Canis lupus familiaris: one gene and its partners. The protein of the gene in region 3 interacts with the protein of the main gene of each other region in a pairwise test. Links are inferred from orthologs where the notes say so. Each region holds a gene or a part of one and is shown on either strand. Other genes may lie near its edges.

The links. The genes of interacting proteins can lie anywhere in the genome.
Region 1: the proteins of PNMA1 (region 3) and FBXL18 interact in a two-hybrid assay, tested with the Homo sapiens proteins (2 studies listed by BioGRID). The two-hybrid records come from large-scale screens. The link is inferred for Canis lupus familiaris from reciprocal best matches to the Homo sapiens genes PNMA1 and FBXL18.
Region 2: the proteins of PNMA1 (region 3) and RTP5 interact in binary tests that used the Homo sapiens proteins (3 or more experiments, as listed by UniProt). The two-hybrid records come from large-scale screens. The link is inferred for Canis lupus familiaris from reciprocal best matches to the Homo sapiens genes PNMA1 and RTP5.

The regions. Positions count from the first base shown.
Region 1 is NC_049227.1:12,590,553-12,596,192, reverse strand, and holds the start of FBXL18 (F-box/LRR-repeat protein 18), read right to left. Parts: upstream 3,369-5,640; 5' UTR 3,237-3,368; coding exon 3,219-3,236; intron 1-3,218. UniProt on the Homo sapiens protein: Substrate-recognition component of the SCF (SKP1-CUL1-F-box protein)-type E3 ubiquitin ligase complex.
Region 2 is NC_049246.1:51,690,413-51,696,100, forward strand, and holds the start of RTP5 (receptor-transporting protein 5), read left to right. Parts: upstream 1-2,320; 5' UTR 2,321-2,333; coding exon 2,334-2,566; intron 2,567-4,080; coding exon 4,081-5,521; 3' UTR 5,522-5,688.
Region 3 is NC_049229.1:47,275,721-47,281,378, reverse strand, and holds PNMA1 (paraneoplastic antigen Ma1), read left to right. Parts: upstream 1-2,318; 5' UTR 2,319-2,572; coding exon 2,573-3,634; 3' UTR 3,635-4,444; downstream 4,445-5,658.

The DNA of each region.
Region 1 (5,640 bases), on a different chromosome or scaffold from region 3:
GGCTCCCAGCATGGAGCCTGCTTCTCCCTCTGCCTGTGTCTCTGTGTGTCTGCCTCTCTCTCTCTCTCTCATAAATAAATAAAATCTTTTAAAATAAATAAATAAATAAGTGGGCAGTGGGTACAACAGAAAGGCTCCTTACAGGGCACTTTGACGATACAAGATTGTTAGCTACGGTATATTTCACATTATAAAAACTTTGTTAAATCACAGAGTCAGTGTGAAGAGGTGCACAATTTTGTGGGTTTGCACTCTGCATTCTGTTCCACTTCTTAGGTTTTGGCTTCTCTAGTTGGCCATTTCTGGAATGTGCCCTGCCTCAGGCCTCCAGGCCTTTCAGAACTTTGGCTCAAGGGCTTAAACACAGTGAAGCCCTCCCAGCATCAGCCAGACAGGCTTAACTCACCTTCATCCAGCCCCTCTGCTGCAGGACCAAGGACCGTCCTACACTCCCACCTCATCAGATGAACTGTCACTGTCGTGGTTTGCCTGATTGCTTATCTCCTCACTAAGCCAAGGACAGCTGCTAAACAGGAATCACTTTTTAATTTCCAAGAGAAAGCAGCACTGAACCAGGTGAGTCAACAGATCACCACTTCACAATCATTTGAAGCATTACAAAAAAAGCAGACCCCCACTCCCAGAAACTCCGGGAGTAACCCTGAGTATCTACATTTTTTTTTTTTTAAGATTTTATTTATTTATTCATGAGAGACACAGAGAGAGAGAGAGAGAGGCAGAGACACAGGCAGAGAAAGAAGCAAGCTCCATGCAGGGAGCCTGACATGGGACTCGATCCCGGGTCTCCAGGATCACACCCTGGGCTGAAAGAGGCACTAAACCTCTGAGCCACCCAGGATGCCCGAGTATCTACATTTTAAAGTCAGTAATGGAGATGCCTGGGTGGCTCAGTGGTTGAGAGTCTGCCTTTGGCTCAGGGCCTGATCCCGGGTTCCCAGGATCAAGTCCAGCATCAGGCTCTTTGCAATGGAGACTGCTTCTCCTCCCTCTGCCTGTGTCTCTGCCTCTTTCTGTGTCTGTCATGAATAAATACATAAAATCTTTAAAATAAATAAAGTCAGTAATGACTTTCAAAATCAAACCACCTCATTCTGGAATCCTATAGTGGAGACAGTTGCACAGCCTTGTGAATGTATTTTTTAAAACCACTTTGGGGTGACATATGGGTGGTTCAGTGATTGAGCATCTGCCTTTGGCTCAGGTCGTGATCCCAGGATCAAGTTCCACATCACGCTCCCCACAAGGAGCCTGCTTCTTCCTCTACCTATATCTGTGCCTGTCTCTCTGTGTCTCTCATAAATAAATATATAAAATCTTTTTTAAAAATAAAAAGTAAAAAATAAAAACACTTTGGGGCATCTAGTCCGTGGAGCATGCAACGCTTGATCTCAGGGTTGTGAGTTCAAGCCCCACGTTAGGCATAAAATTTACTTTAAACACACACTTTAGGGCAGCCCAGGTGGCTCAGCGGTTTAGCGCTGTCTTCAGCCCGGGGCATGATCCTGGAGACCTGGGATCGAGTCCCATGTCAGGCTCCCTGCTTGGAGCCTGCTTCTCCCTCTACCTGTGTCTCTGCCCCTCTTTCTCTCTCTCGTGTGTGTCTCTCATGAATAAATAAATTTTTAAAAAAATCTTTAAAAATAAAAAAATAAACACACACTTTAAAACTGAACTTTATGGGGGCAGCCCCGGTGGCGCAGCGGTTTGGCACCACCTGCAGCCCAGGGTGTGATCCTGGAGACCCGGGATCGAGTCCCACATCGGGCTCCGTGCATGGAGCCTGCTTCTCCCTCTGCCTGTGTGTCTCTGCCTCTCTCTCTCTCTCTCTCTCTCTCTCTCTCTCTGTGTCTCTCATGAATAAATAAATAAAATATTTTTTAAAAAACTGAACTTTATGGTGTGCAAACTATACACCAATAAATAGAAAACAGAACAATCCAGAAGGGTCCTTGATCTCCACATCCAGGGTAGAATGAGGTGCCCATGAAGGAACAAGAGGCCTCTAGCCAGGTCACTCACATATGCTTCAAGGAACAGAGAGCCCTTTGTACCAGGACCCCCTAAGAGCAAGGAACCAGTGCCCCAGCTCCTACAAGTACACACGATTACCTGGAATCTGCTAACACAGTCAGGCTGCCCCATAACTATTCCTTGAAGAGCCTCAGCTTTCCTACCCTTCAATCCTACCACCGTCTGCAGGTGTGTCCCACATCCTCCCTCTCAATCAAGGGGCCACTTCTAAGCCAAACTCACTTCAAATGAAGAGGAACTATCTGCAATCCTGGCCACATCCATTTCGAAGGAAACACTGGAACCTCTGATTCCCCTTCCCCATAGCACAGGTGAGCCCCTAAGACAGGAAATGCACTCCAGGGTCCAAGGCCCAGATGCTAAACACACACACAGGTGCACACAAGTACACAAAGATAGGCAGTAAGCAACAAATGCAAAGACACGGGTCAGAGTCCGGGCCCCCCATACCCTGGTCTGCAGATAAAATACCTTGCACCACATCACAGGGACTCGGACCCAGACTTGCAGAGCACCGAGGAAAGGAATTCCAGGGTAAACCAGAAGTTCCCCAGGTGAAATGGCTTTTCCTCCATTACCCTCCCCAGTCACACAACCAGAGGAAAGTGGGCTGAAACTGAGCATTCAGAGATAGAGGATGGGGTACTGAGTGGGCATGGAAGACGGAGGTCCCATAGGTCCAAGGGCTGAACCCAGGTACAGGGGGCGTGAGAAAGGGGCCTGAGAGGTCTACGGGAGACTGGAAACTCTGGGGGCGCAGAAGCGGGGGAAGAACCCTGGCGATCACGCCTGCGGGCTGGCAAAGGGACGGAAAACCCAAGGGGGGAGAGAACTTGAGCCTTCGCAACAGGATGAGGACCTAGGGGGCGGGGCGGGGCCAGGATAGGGATGCGAAGGACCCAGCGAGGCCGAGGCCAGGGTCGGAGCAGGAAGGACCAAACCTGGCCAACGCCAGGGTTGGAGTGGACAGGGCCAAGGCGGCTGCGGTGGGGGGTCGAGGTCAGGATGGGAAGCATAGAGCCAGGCTGCGGTCGGGACAGGAAGGATGGAGCGGGTTAGCGGGCCGGATGGAAAGGACGCAAAAGGGACCGGGGCGGGATGGGAAGGCCCGAGCGGAGCCAAAGCCGCGGGGCAGGAAGGAGAGCGGAGAGAGGCGCCGGCCGTACCTCCTCGGAGCTGGCCATGGTGAAAGCGGGCGGGGCCGCGGCTGCCAGAGCCGCAGCCCCAGGGCCTCCCCTGGCCCGCCAGGGATGCTCAAAGCCGGCGCGTCCGCGGCTCCACAGAGACCCCGGTAGGGGGCGGGGGCCTCGGCCTCCTGCCACTTCCGGCGCCTGCCGCTACGTACTTCCGCCCGCCAACCGGCGTGCCCCGGGGGGGCCGCCATGTTGGGTGCGGCGCTGTTCTCTGGGGCCCTGTTAGGGATGCGGGTTGAGCCCAGGAGCACTACGTCAGCCGCAGCGTCCTCTCGGGCCCGGGCTCTCCCTCGTCTGCTCTCTGCCTGCTACTTTCCAGCCACAATGTCCCCCTGCCGGCCCGGCACTCTCTTGCCTCCGGGCCTTGGCATTCGCGTCCCCATGCCTGCAAGTGTCCACTCGTGGGACCACCGTGCGGAAAACCACATCTCCTCCTCCCCTAAACTTGCGTCTTATCTTGTATTTCTCCCCATAGCTCTTTGCAGTATCTGACGTCCCGTGTCTTTTTGTTTCTTTCTTTTTTTATTTTTTTCGTTTGTTTTGTTGTCCTCTTGCTGCGCTCAGCCACGCACTAGTAAAAATCAGTGGGGAACACTTGGGTCAGAACCGGTGCCGAGTCCTGAGTGACCCTAGGCATGTAGATCTTTGCGCTGGGGGTGGGGGTGTTTCCCCACAGTTGTGGAGGCCAGAAGTAGGGAATGAAGATGTGACTGGGCCATGTTCCAATGGCTCTAAGGAAGAATCCCCTCTTGCTCTTCCGGGCTCTGGGTGGTGGTCAGCAATCCTTGGAGTCCCTTGGTTTGCAGCTGCATCACTCACAAGTTCTGCTCTCTCCCTAGAGGACCCACCCTCTTCATATGTGTGCCCGCGAACATGTGTGCACATAGCCTTTCTTTAAAAGACACCAGTCTTGGGCAGCCCCGGGTGGCTCAGGGTTGAGGGCCTCCTTCAGCCCGGGGTGTGATCCTGGAGACCCAGGATCGAGTCCCACGTCAGGCTCCCTGCATGGAGCCTGCCCCCCCCCCCCCCGCCCCCCGTCTCTCTTGAATAAATATTATAAATAAACAAACACACACCAGTCTTGGGGCACCTGGGTGGCTCAGTGGTTGAGCATCTGCCTTTGGCTCAGGTTGTGATTCTGGGGTCCTGGGTTGGAGTCCTGCATCAGGCTCCCCACAGGGAGCCTGTGTCTCCTGTGTGTCTCTCATGAATAAATAAAAATCTTTAAAAAGAAACAAAAGACACCAGTCTTGTTGAATTTAATACCCACCTTAATCTAAGATCTTAACTAGTGACATGCAAAGAGCTTGTTTCCAAATAAGGTCACATTCCAAGGTTCTGGGCAGACATAAATCTTTGGGGGACACTTATTCAACCTAGTACATCAGGTTTCATACGCTCTCCCTGGGCCTCATTTTCCTCCCACCTCATTGGGTTGAGCCTGTTAGTAGCAAGAGGCCTTTGATGAGCTCCTGTGGGTGGACCTTCCTGGGGGCAGGCACAGTCCTTGCCTCAAAGAGTTTATGGTTTAGTCAACAGTTAAATACAACTTGAAGCGTAATAAGCATGACTGTTAATGGAGGTACCATTGTTTACCATTGAAGCATTGACAATGGAGCCCAACTATGACAGAGGCAGGCATCTGGAATTTCACAGAGGCCCAGGTTTCTCCTCCAGTCCTCCTAACTCCTGACCCATTCCTTCTTTTCCCCTACAGTCTGTAATCAAGTATGTTTTTCACTATGGCAGAGGTGTTTTATTTTCTCTCCCTTGGGGAAGAGGCTGCTTTTGGGCAAACAGACTTGAGCGATCGATTGTAGAAAGGCCCCACAGCGTCCACTTAGCTGAACACAGGCCCATCAGGTGACGCAGCTCAAAATATCCGTAGGCACTAACTCACCAATGGGCTACTTACAACCCAGCACAGTTACCAATAAAGGGCAAATGCCATATGTTGCCATATGTAATTTTATTTATTCATTTATGAGAGACACAGAGATATCAGCAGAGGAAGAAGCAGGCTCCCTGTGCAGAGCCCCATGTGGGACTCAATTCCAGGGCCCCAGGACCACGACCTGAGCCAAAGGCAGATGCTCAATCACTGAGCCACCCAGGCACCCCACCCTCCCTCTTTATTTTTTGAGATTTTGTTTATTCATGAGAGACACACAGAGAGAGGGAGAACAGGCTCCCTGCAGGGAGCCCGACGTGGGAATTGATCCTGGGACTCTAAGATCACGCCCTGGGCCAAAGGCAGGCGCTAAACCACTGAGCCACCCAGGGATCCCCACCCTCCCTCTTTAAAAACAATCCTTATCCACTACCTCCTTGCTAAGAGCCTCTGCTTTGCTGTCCTGCCCGCTGCTCCCTTGCAGGTGTATTCAGAAAACTTATA
Region 2 (5,688 bases), on a different chromosome or scaffold from region 3:
CACCAGCTTCAGGGTCCAGGAGACCCAGGACTCGGGAGGCGCCGCGCAGGCTCGGCCTCATCCGTCACCCTCTGGTAAAGAAGGGGCACGCGGATGGCCCAGTGGCTTGTTGGCAAAGAGCTCGAGGTGCCGGTTGGGGGCAGACGGGCAGGCACACAAAGGAGGTGTGGGGGAGCTGGGGTCTGCCCCTGGGCCCCTCGGGCAGTCTTCTGGGAGAGCTGTGAGCAAGTTTCTGTCTTTCTTTTTTTAAAGGGTTTTATTTATTTATTCATGAGAGACACAGAGAGAGAGGCAGAGACACAGGCAGAGGGAGAAGCAAGCTCCCTGTGGGGAGCCTGATGTGGGACTCGATCCCGGGACTCCGGGATCATGACCTGAGCCAAAGGCAGACGCTAGACCCCTGAGCCACCCAGGTGTCCCTGTGAGCAAGTTTCTTAACCACAAAGATCATTTTTGGGTGGTGGAGGCCAGTCACATACCAAGACTCTTCCCTGAACTCAGAGGCAGGCTGGGGTCTCCGAGCACAGGGGGCTGCCCAGTAGGGCAGGTGGATGGGCTGTGGCACGGCCCCGGGCAGAGCACGGCTCCCACACCCAAAAGTGTGAGGAGGGCGTCAGGGCGCTGGGCCCAGGGAGGCCACGTGGAGGGGAAGGGCTCGGTGGGTGCTCCGCACAGCAGGCCAGGGCGTCCCCTTGAAGCCCTGTGCGGGCACGTGAGCAGGACCGCACGCATGCCCGCCTCCACGCTGTGGCCCCAGACCAACCGGCACGACCCGGGGCCGTGGGCACAGCCCCAGCATGGCGGTCAGAATGGCCGATGAACCAGAGTACAGGGTCTTTGCTAACAGTGGCTGCTGGAGGCTCGCTTCTCTCGGGAACAATACATCCAGAGGTAGGTGTCCGAGGTGGTACAGTGACTCCGAGTCATCCAGGGTCCAGGCTTGCCTTCTTCCTGCGCACATGGCTTCCATCTGCTGGTTCGCCTTGTGGTGTAAGGGGGCTGCGGGAGTGCCAGTTGTCACATCTGCATCAATGCCCAGATGTAGAGGACAGCGCGGGGGCCGTGGTCCTCCCCAGCTCGCTGGCCCCGCAGGAAGGAGCCTTCCCAGGAGCACAGCCCCACAATTTCCTCCCCTATCCCACGATCGCTCCTCGCTTCGAGGCAGACAGGTGTCTCAGAAACGCAAAACAGGAAAAGAACATCAGCCCATCAGCAGGCTGGACGGACATGGGCAGAGAATCTGCCGCCGTGGAGGAGTGAGGAGCGTGTCCCCGGGGCGGGACAGAGGGGCCGTGGCGGCTCAGGGGGTAGGCTGGGGGGCTGGGGCGCCAGGGCAAGGCGGTGCTGGGCAGGGCCCTGGGCTCCCTGGCTCACTTCCTGCAGCAGGGGTGGAGCAGGGCGCCCGGACCCCCAGAGGGGTGAGGCAGGAGGGCGAGGGAGGGGCCCTCATGAGGCAGGGGTGGGGCTGGGGAGGCTGGCAGTCGCAGTGTGTGGGGGGGTGGCGCACCGAGACCTGGACCTGAGGACGGCATGGGGGGCGCAGGGACCCCCACGTGGGGGACAGAGTGGCGTGGGCGCGCAGGGGGCGGCTGCTGCGGGGATGCGTCCAGGGAGGGCGGACCCTGCCGTGCGCCCCACACACGACGCAGGGTCCTTGACACAAAGCCCAAGGCAGCAGCAGGGGGAGGCACCTCCCGTGGCGGGGGCGCATCGAGGCAGGGCGCACAGCCCGGGAGGCCCTTCCCCAGCGGCTGGGCCAGGTCCTAACTGCACCCGTGAGGCTGCGCCTCGCGCTTTAGCCACGTCCACGCACATGTCTGGCGGCTCCAGCCAACATATGGTTTGGGAGAAAAAACCACCGTGGGAAAATCTGCAACAATTTGTGTTCAATAACGTCGCTCCTGGCGTCGTCCCTGACGGCAAAGAAGGAGCGCGGGGCGCGTGGGGTGCAGGCAGGGCCGCAGGCTGGGCCGCAAGATGCCGCGCTCAGGCGCCAACCGGTGCGCAACGCTGCCTGCGACGTGTGGGCCAGTGAGGCCAGGCTGTCCGAAAACACGCTCGCTGTGATTTCCTGTTTGTGAAAATTCACACACGCGTGTCTGGGGAGACGCGCAGTCGCAGCGCCACCGGGAGGATCATGTATGACTTTTTTCTGTATCAGTTTCTCCTTTGTGTTTATCTGTTTCTGGTTTTTTCTAAAATGAAAATATATCTCCTGCGTAATAAGAAATATTCAAGGGGACGGGGAACAAGGCCCAGTTCTCATTTCTGGGGGACGAACCCGGTTGCCATGGAGACTGGGCGGTTGTCAAGGCAGCGATTGGCTGGGGAGGATGCAGGATGTGGGATCCCAGGGCTCCCTCGGAGCGGAGCCGGCGCAGCTGTCAGACCGCAGTGCGGAGCCAAGTGCCAGCATGGACGGGGTGGACGCGTGGGCCAGCACCCTGGCCCAGCTCATGGCCAAGAGGAAGCCCCAGGACACCTGGGAGCTGGTCCCTGAGGAGAACCTGGCCTCCGGGGTCATGGAGAGTGGCGATTTTCAGTATCGGCTGAGGGGGCTCTCCAGGTGCGCTGGGGTGGGGGGCTCCTGGGGGGGCTGGGGGAGGGCTGAGCTGCTTGGTCCCCAAGCCGGGCTGGTGTGGTAGGGCCCTGTGGGCTGGGAAGAGGGGTCCCCCCCCACCTACCCCAGCAGGGAGCCGGGCCGGGTGTTCCCTCCTCTCCAGGAGGTGGGGGCCCCGGGACAACCTCTGTGCAGTCCCCTGGTGCTGGCCACTGCAGTCGGGGTCCTGCGGGGGGGAGCAGAGGCTGGGGGGCGACGATGCCACCCACACGTGAAGTGAAGGGCCTGTTCGCTCACTGCAGCATCTCCTGGTTTCCATGGTAGCACTGCCGGCCAGAGCAGGGGAGGGGCGGCTGCCGGGCTCACACCCCTCCCTGCAGAGGGGCCCAAGGGGCACAGGCCCGGGGTGGAGAGGCTCTGTATGACCTGGGTGGGGGCCAGCAGGGGCCCCGCTCCTCATTGTCATGATGACAGTGGCGGGGATGGGCCAGACCCGCGGGGGCCCCACCCCACCAGGCGTTCCCCCACCCTCCGGGGGCCAGCTGGGAGGGGGTCAGTGGGGGAGGTGGCCCACCGGCAGGTCAGCGCGGGGACTCTCCGGCAGCCACCCTGTGACATGGGCCCCTCAGCTCCCCGTGGCGGGGGGTGGGTGAGTGAGCAGCCCGGGGTGTGTGTGGAAGCGCCCCAAATCACGGGATGGCTCCCACCGCCCAGCAGGAGAGAACACCGCCTTCAGTGGCCGGGGCAGGGCTCTCTGCTGTCCTGCAGCTGGACACGGTGGAGGGGGGCACAAGGCACAACAGCCACGGGGCCTCCGGGAGCCTGATCACATCGAAATGCGGTTGACAGGTCAGCTCCCGGGCACCTGTGGCTGCCGCAGAGGCGGGGCCTGCCCGACGTTGCCACCCTCACCACCGCAGAAAGCTCCAGGGGAGGGCGCCGCTGGGGGACGCCCGGAGTGTGGTCGCCGGGCCCTGACCTTGGGGGCTTGGAGACGGGCCCACCTGCCCGGCCCTGGGGCACACGGCCTGGGGTGAGCGGCTCTCCCGCTCCCACGTTTGCAGCTGGGGCCGCCCCGTCAAAGGAGCTCACCGGTCCCAGCCCACCCCAGCTCTCCTGAGAGCCCCCTGCCCCCTTTACGTCAGCTTCTCTCCCTGGGGATGGAGCTCTTCCTCCCGGGACCTCCCCCGCCCCGTGAGTCCGCACAGCTTAGCCATGTGGACCCTGCCCCCCCCCACCGGCTGCCTTTGAGTCTTGGTGACGTGTCCGCAGGGCAGTGAAGCCTGGGTCACAGAGCTGATAAGCAGCAGGTGCAGCGACGCCCCCCCCCCCCACAGGTGTCAGGCCGGGCTGGGCCCTTGCGTGGGGTTTGGGTGCCAATCGGACAAAAAGGAATTTGCTTTTCAGCCTTTCAGATGATGCGCGGCGGGCAGGGGTGTCAGGGTTCGGAGCCCCCGAGGGGCCGGCTGAGCGGGGGGCCGCCGCCACCCTCCACTCACTGCCGCCCTTCTTGCCCGCAGGCTGCAGTGTGGCCGCTGCCAGTGGGGCTGGTCCTCGGCACACGTGCACATCCTCTTCCACATGTGCCTGGACGAGGACAGCCGGCTGGGGCTGGTGAAGATGCGCATCTGGGGCCAGCGGTGCCGCCTGTGCCCGCCGGGCATCCGGGCCGACTGCCAGGTGAGCCTCCTGAATATCCGGCTCTTCCTCAACAAGCTGGTCCTGTTCATCCTGCAGAAGTGCTACGGGGAGAGCCTCAGCGCAGACCAGTGCCCTGAGATCTGCTTCGGCGAGCGCTGCGAGGCCTGCGACCTGGGGGTCTGCTTCTTCCAGAAGCCCCCAGACCCGGCCTGGGGGCCCGAGGTCAAGAGCCCCACTACCATTAAGGGCCGGTACACCTTGTACGGGGGCGGCAGCGCCGATGCCTTGGAGGCCGGCAAGCAGCTGCTCACCTTGGGCAGCGGGCCCGTGGTTGACCGCTCCCGGGGCTACACCCCCAACTCCATCACCATCCCCCTCTCCGTGTCCGACTTCATCAGGAACCCGATTTCTGAGAGCAGCAACTTCTTCAGGCAAGATGATGAGATCGTCACCGTCCCCTTCTCCCTTGTGCACGTGGGAAGGGACAAGGGCCGGGTGACTCCGGGGCAGGGCTCTCGCCCCGCAGTGGACCCCTGTGAGTCGCTGGTCATCGCCAAGGGCTGCATGTCCTTGCCGGCCAGTTCCTCAGCTGCGTCCAAGGCCAGAGGCCTCCTGGTAAACATCCGGTGCCCCATCTTCCACGGCAGAGGGCTGCTCATCAGCAGCATCAAGCCCTTCCAGCTCAAGGGCTTCATCTTCAAGGGCCAAGGCTCCATCACCAGCCCCTCCGACAGTGACGAGGACACCGCCTCTGAGAGCGCCGACAGCAACCCGCAGCCTGTGTCCTATATCATCGGGCTCACGGATGACGGAGAGGGCTCTGTCACCTTCCCCTCGTCTCTGGCCGACATGATCCGAGACAAGGACTTCCCCGACATCAACGGCTCCGTCACCTTCCCCTTCATCTTCACTGGTGAAGACAAAAGCACCCAAGACCTAGAGAAAGAGGGTGGCGGCAATGGCCCTGCTGCGGCTGGCGGGCAACCCCTTCCGGGGACCCGCACCCGTAGGCCCGTCACCATCAGCGAGGGCTCTGTCACCATCCCCTTCTCGGTCTTCGACATCATCAGATGCAAGGGCTCCGGCTCGGTTGCCAGCGGCCGCCAGAGCAGCGGCCTGGCCCCCCATGGCTACAAGAAGAGGAGGACGCCGAGGGCCCGGCTCAGCAGGTCTGGCTCCCAGCCCAGCTGGGAGGAGGACTTGTGCTGCGACGACGGCTGCTGCGCGCCGCGCTTCGACCCCTATGAGGAGGTGTGGATCTGGGTGTCCATGACCGTGTGCATCCTCTGGATCATGTACCTGTACAAGTTCAGCCCTTGACAGCCCGCGCGAAGCCTGACGCCCCCTGCGGGTCCCTGCTGCACCCCTCCAGCAGGGCTGCCCAGGCCGCGGAGAGTGGACCCCCCCACCCCTGCCCGCACCCCGGGACCCCCGGCACCCCTGCCCGCCCGAGGGTGGGCCTCAGCCTTCCCCTCCATCTCCTGCTT
Region 3 (5,658 bases):
CTTATGTCTAGAGAATCCCCTATATTTAACTGCCTCAGTGACCTAACCTCTTTCTTCTCATGTGCCAGATGTTAAGATGAAGGAGGAATACAACACATACTCAAGCCTCAGCTGTTTAAATATATTTTCACTGGGGCTCTCTTTTTTTTCGAACGGTATTTATTACCAGACTGGCAAGCCTAACTCCTTAGGTTTACAGGAAGTATGCACATTTTTATAAAACAATTGTATGTCCTCCCCATATTTCGCTGTGTTAATGTTTGCCTCTAACAATTTGCAGCTGTTTCACCTTTTCCTCATTTGTCTTTAAGTTGAAGGTCTTGTGTGGAGGGGACAGCACAGGAACAGCCTTGACAGTCTGTAATTATTGTACAAATATTTTAATAGCATATAAATAAGTATATTCCTTTTATTTTGGAAAAAAAAAACATGATCAGACACTGCCTTTTGTGTGTTTGCTGCCTGTGGCACCCTTTTTTAAAAAGACTGTTACATATTAAAATAGTGTATATATATATATATATATATAAATATTACCTCTTTTGCTGTACAGTTGTGATAGACCAGACTGAAGATTTTATTTTTTGTGTGCTTTTTATAAAAAAGAAAAAATAACACACTAAAGTAAATCTTGCGGATGTGATTGTAATGTACCTATGTAACTTATTTACTTTTGAATGTTCTTCTGTATCTTTAAACCTTTTATTAAATAAGGTTTTAAAAATTCAGAGTTGAATGCTGTGTTCTTTTGGGGAAGATTTTCACCATCTGGGATTGACGTTAAGTAGGCCCTGTTTTGCTTGCAGGGGGTTGCTTGACATTTTTGAACCACAAGGAGGATTCTCTTTTGTCAGCTCTTTCTCGATACCAGGACAGGAAAAATAACACACTAGCGTTTTGCCTGGCTACGGATTATTGACTAGATACGGGTTTTTTTTTTTTTTTTTTACAAAACTTTAGACAAGAAAAAGTCTCAACTCAGTGTCTCACACAAAAATATGAACACGGCACGCTTCCAACGTGTTAGTTTGAGGGGATGTATGGAGGGTGCAGAATGCAATCAGGTGGGACAGGGAAGCTGCGGTGCTAAAGACCGTATTTTCCTACCCAGCGGAAGACCAGTGACGGAGGCATTTGCAGCCTTAACTCCACTCCAGAATTATATTATCTTTTAAACAAGGTGCTTTGTTAAAAAAAAAAAAAAAAATTTTTTTTAAGGGCACCTGGGTGGCTCAGTGTTTGACCTCCTGCCTTTGGCTCAGGTCAGGATCCTGGGGTCCTGGGATAGAGCCCCGCATGGGGCTCCCTGCAGGGAACCTGCTTCTCCCTCCGCCTCTGTCTCTGCCCACCCCTCATGAATAAATAAAATCTTTTTTAAAAAATGAAATAAAGGGCAGCCCGGGTGGCTCAGCGGTTTGGCGCCTGCCTTCGGCCCAGGGTGTGCTCCTCGAGTGCCAGGATTGAGTCCCGCGTCGGGCTCCCTGCGTGGAGCCTGCTTCTCCCTCTGCCTGTGTCACTGCCTCTCTTTCTGTGTCTCTCACGAATAAATAAAATCTTTTTTAAGAAATGAAATAAAAACTGGAAAATGTGAAAAAGGAAATGCGCCACCAAAGAGAGCAGTGTCCGGAGCGTCAGGCCAGCGCCTCTGCAACCGCCCCACCCCGCCCCCAGCCCCAACCCCGGGAGCGCGCGGAGCGGGCGGGAGTCCGGGCCGCCGTTGCCATGGCTACGCTCGGGGGCGGGGCGCGGAGGAAGCGGCTCCGCAGCCGGCCCCGCCCCGCACTGCGGCAGTAACGCCTCCGCGGGCTGCGGTGGGACCCCGGCGGCCCCGCTGCGCCACACCGCCGCAGCCCGCCGCAGCCTGCGCGCCGCCGCCGCCTGTGGCCCCGCTTCCCCGTCCTTCGGCGCCTCCGCCGCCCGTGTGCTCGGTCCTCAGCCGCCCTCACCGCCCGGAGCCATCCCTGCGTCTGCAAAGAAGCCGCTGGCGGGCTGGCGTGGCAGCCACCGCCGCGACCTCAGAACAGGCTCTGCCTCCGGGGACCGCACAGCCCTCGTCTGCAGAGCAGCCGCTCCTCGGCCGACTGGAGGCCGGGCTCCGGCCGCGGACGCCGGGATCGCCTCCGAGGGGAGCCCCGAGTGCCGGCGCCCGGCTGCCGGGAGGAGGCGGCCACGCCCCGCGACCACACCCGGGCGCCTCCGGCCCCGCGGCGCAGCCCTCGCCAGCCGCGCTCGCTGCCCGCCTCCTGCGCTGCGACGGGACGCGACCCCCGGCTGCAGGTGGGGGACCCGGGCCGCGGGCCCCGACTGAGGACGCCGGTGGCGGCGGACGCGTGAGGCGACTGCCCGAGCCTCCCGGGGCTTGGCTCCGGGGACCAGCCGGCGGACTGCCTTTGGGGGCCGCGAAGGAAGAGGGCAGGACTCTGGTGTCGTTTGTTAATTGTGATTGCGTCAAGCTTGCCTCCCTCGCGCCTACGGGGGTGGGGGGGTGTCTGCTGCCGCGCTGAGCCCTAGAGCGCAGGGAGCCACAGCCTAATCCGTCTTTGTAGAATCGGGGCCCTCGCTAGTTGGGGAAATGGCGATGACGCTGTTGGAAGACTGGTGCCGGGGGATGGATGTGAACTCCCAGAGAGCCCTGCTGGTCTGGGGGATCCCAGTGAACTGTGATGAGGCTGAAATCGAGGAGACCCTCCAGGCTGCGATGCCCCAGGTGCCCTATCGAGTGCTTGGGAGGATGTTTTGGAGGGAAGAGAATGCGAAAGCAGCCTTGTTAGAGCTCACTGGCGCTGTCGATTACGCCGCGATCCCCAGGGAGATGCCGGGTAAAGGAGGTGTCTGGAAAGTGGTCTTTAAACCCCCGACTTCCGATGCTGAATTTTTAGAAAGGTTGCACCTCTTCCTAGCGAGAGAGGGGTGGACCGTGCAAGATGTTGCCCGCGTCCTTGGGTTTCAGAACCCCACTCCGGCCCCGGGTCCAGATATGCCAGCAGAGATGCTAAACTATATTTTAGATAACGTTATTCAGCCTCTTGTTGAGTCCATATGGTACAAGAAGTTGACGCTGTTCTCGGGGAGGGACATCCCGGGGCCTGGGGAGGAGACCTTTGATCCCTGGCTGGAACACACTAATGAGGTCATAGAGGAGTGGCAGGTGTCTGATGTAGAAAAGAGGCGGCGGTTGATGGAGAGTCTTCGGGGCCCCGCCGCTGATGTCATCCGCATCCTCAAGACGAACAACCCTGCGATAACCACTGCCGAATGCCTGAAGGCGCTTGAGCAGGTGTTTGGGAGCGTCGAGAGCTCTAGGGATGCGCAGGTCAGATTTCTGAACACTTACCAGAACCCGGGAGAAAAGTTATCTGCGTATGTCATTCGTCTGGAGCCTCTTCTGCAGAAGGTGGTGGAGAAGGGGGCCATAGATAAAGATAACGTGAACCAGGCCCGCCTGGAGCAGGTCATTGCCGGGGCCAACCACAGCGGGGCCATCCGGAGGCAGCTGTGGCTGACCGGGGCCGCGGAAGGGCCTGCCCCTAACCTCTTCCAGTTGCTGGTGCAGATCCGCGAGGAGGAGGCCAAGGAGGAGGAGGAGGAGGCGGAGGCCGCCCTCCTGCAGTTAGGCTTGGAGGGGCACTTCTGAGGCCCAGGAAACGGCGACAGTGCACATCTAGATCGCAGCCGCTTACCTTGTCTCCGTGCTCTTACAGATGTGTCCCTAGTGGTAAAGACTTCCGCCATGTGCTGTTTTGGGGGTGGGGGTAGGGAGTCAGGCCTGAGTATTCATGTAACATTAGTACAATCGCGCAAATGAGCACCCTGAGCTGCTACAAGTGAGTCGTACTCGCTGCAATGCCAGGTAAAGACTTGTACACAAGTGCTCAGTGCCAGCTGTCATTGTGGCAATCATCCGTTGTAAAAACCATGTGAATCCCTGACACTTCTCATTGAGATAATTGTGAAATTGCATGTTCAGATGTTTTAGCGTGGGGCCTGGCAAACACAGGAAGTGTTCGGTAAAAATATGAGCCGTTGTTACTAATATTGTGAATAGTTTTTGTGTTTACAGTAAATTGTTCCTAAGTTTTTTCCCTAATTTATATTAATGGAAAGAAATGTGACTCATACTATTTATTCAGCCTTACAAAGCAAATTGTTTTATTTTTCATCTCGAAACATCTGGATCACTTTAATTGAAAAGTATTCTGAGACTATGGAATGGGATGTTAGAAAAATACTGCAATTCTAGAATTGTGTGAATCAATTTTTCTGTGTACAAGACACAGGGAGTGTCTTGTTGCATGGGGAGATTAATAAGAACCAGTTACAGTATCTATTCCCCCATTTCAAATCCTTGTCATTGAATGGTAGTTCTTGTTCATGCTGATTCTAAGTGTTCTAAATTTGAAGTTGTCAAAATACATGTATATGAATAAAAGTATTTAAAAAATTCTATTGTCTTTTTTTTCTGACACATATATAAAATTTCAGTGTAATTAAGCTCTATATTTATTCTCTTAGGAAGATTTCCTGGTGTCACTTAAAAAAAATATAACTTCAGTTACTGTATCTTTAACCTTATAGCATACTATTTGAGTTTGAATTACAGAACCTTTCAATGTATTCAATTTTTGCATGTTTTCTACAAGGCAAATATTAGAAGGCTGAACAGACCTAAGTCAATATTAACTTACTATAAAAAGTTAGGAAATCCTGAAATGGGGCTCAGGATGTTATCTAGTAATGCTTTTTCTCCCCTTTCAAATCCCTTTTCAGGGATCCCTGGGTGGCGCAGCGGTTTGGCGCCTGCCTTTGGCCCAGGGCGGGATCCTGGAGACCCGGGATCGAATCCCACGTCGGGCTCCTGGTGCATGGAGCCTGCTTCTCCCTCTGCCTGTGTCTCTGCCTCTCTCTATCTCTCTCTCTGTGACTATCATAAAAAAAATAAAAACCTGGATTATTTTTTAAAAAATCCCTTTTCAGCTAAAAATGTTTGTTTTACTACAGGAATAATTTCTCATACCTGTTTAAAATGAATGTTTCTGATTTATAGCAGCCATTTTATTTTTTTTTTGTCAAAATTCATTTTTATTAATAGAAAATACTTATTCCAGTTTCAGTTGTTATACTTGAAGTTGCTAATAAAAAAAAAAGAATTTAAAATAATCATCCTGTTTCGACTAAGACAATGAAGCTGTAGCTTAAAAAAAATTCACGATTTTGGGATCCCTGGGTGGCGCAGCGGTTTCGCGCCTGCCTTTGGTCCAGGGCGCGATCCTGGAGACGCGGGATCGAATCCCACGTCGGGCTCCCAGTGCATGGAGCCTGCTTCTCCCTCTGCCTGTGTCTCTGTGACTCTCTCTCTCTCTCTGTGACTATCATAAATTTAAAAAAAAAAAAAAATTCACGATTTGCTCATAAAGGTCTTTCAGAATTTGTTCTTAAAGTTTCTGGAACTTTCCTGTCAAGTACAGGAGTTACTGAGCTACATGAGGAAGTCTCTCTGAGACAACCAATGAGAAGTTAAGCAGTTGTCATAAAAGGAATCCCTGTATGGTAACCTGGACTATACAAAGATCCCCTCCCCTCCAGCTCAGGAGGGACATGCCTCTAAGCACTGAGGTATGAAGAGTCAGACTGTTATTTGCTGTTAGAATTAGCTAATAA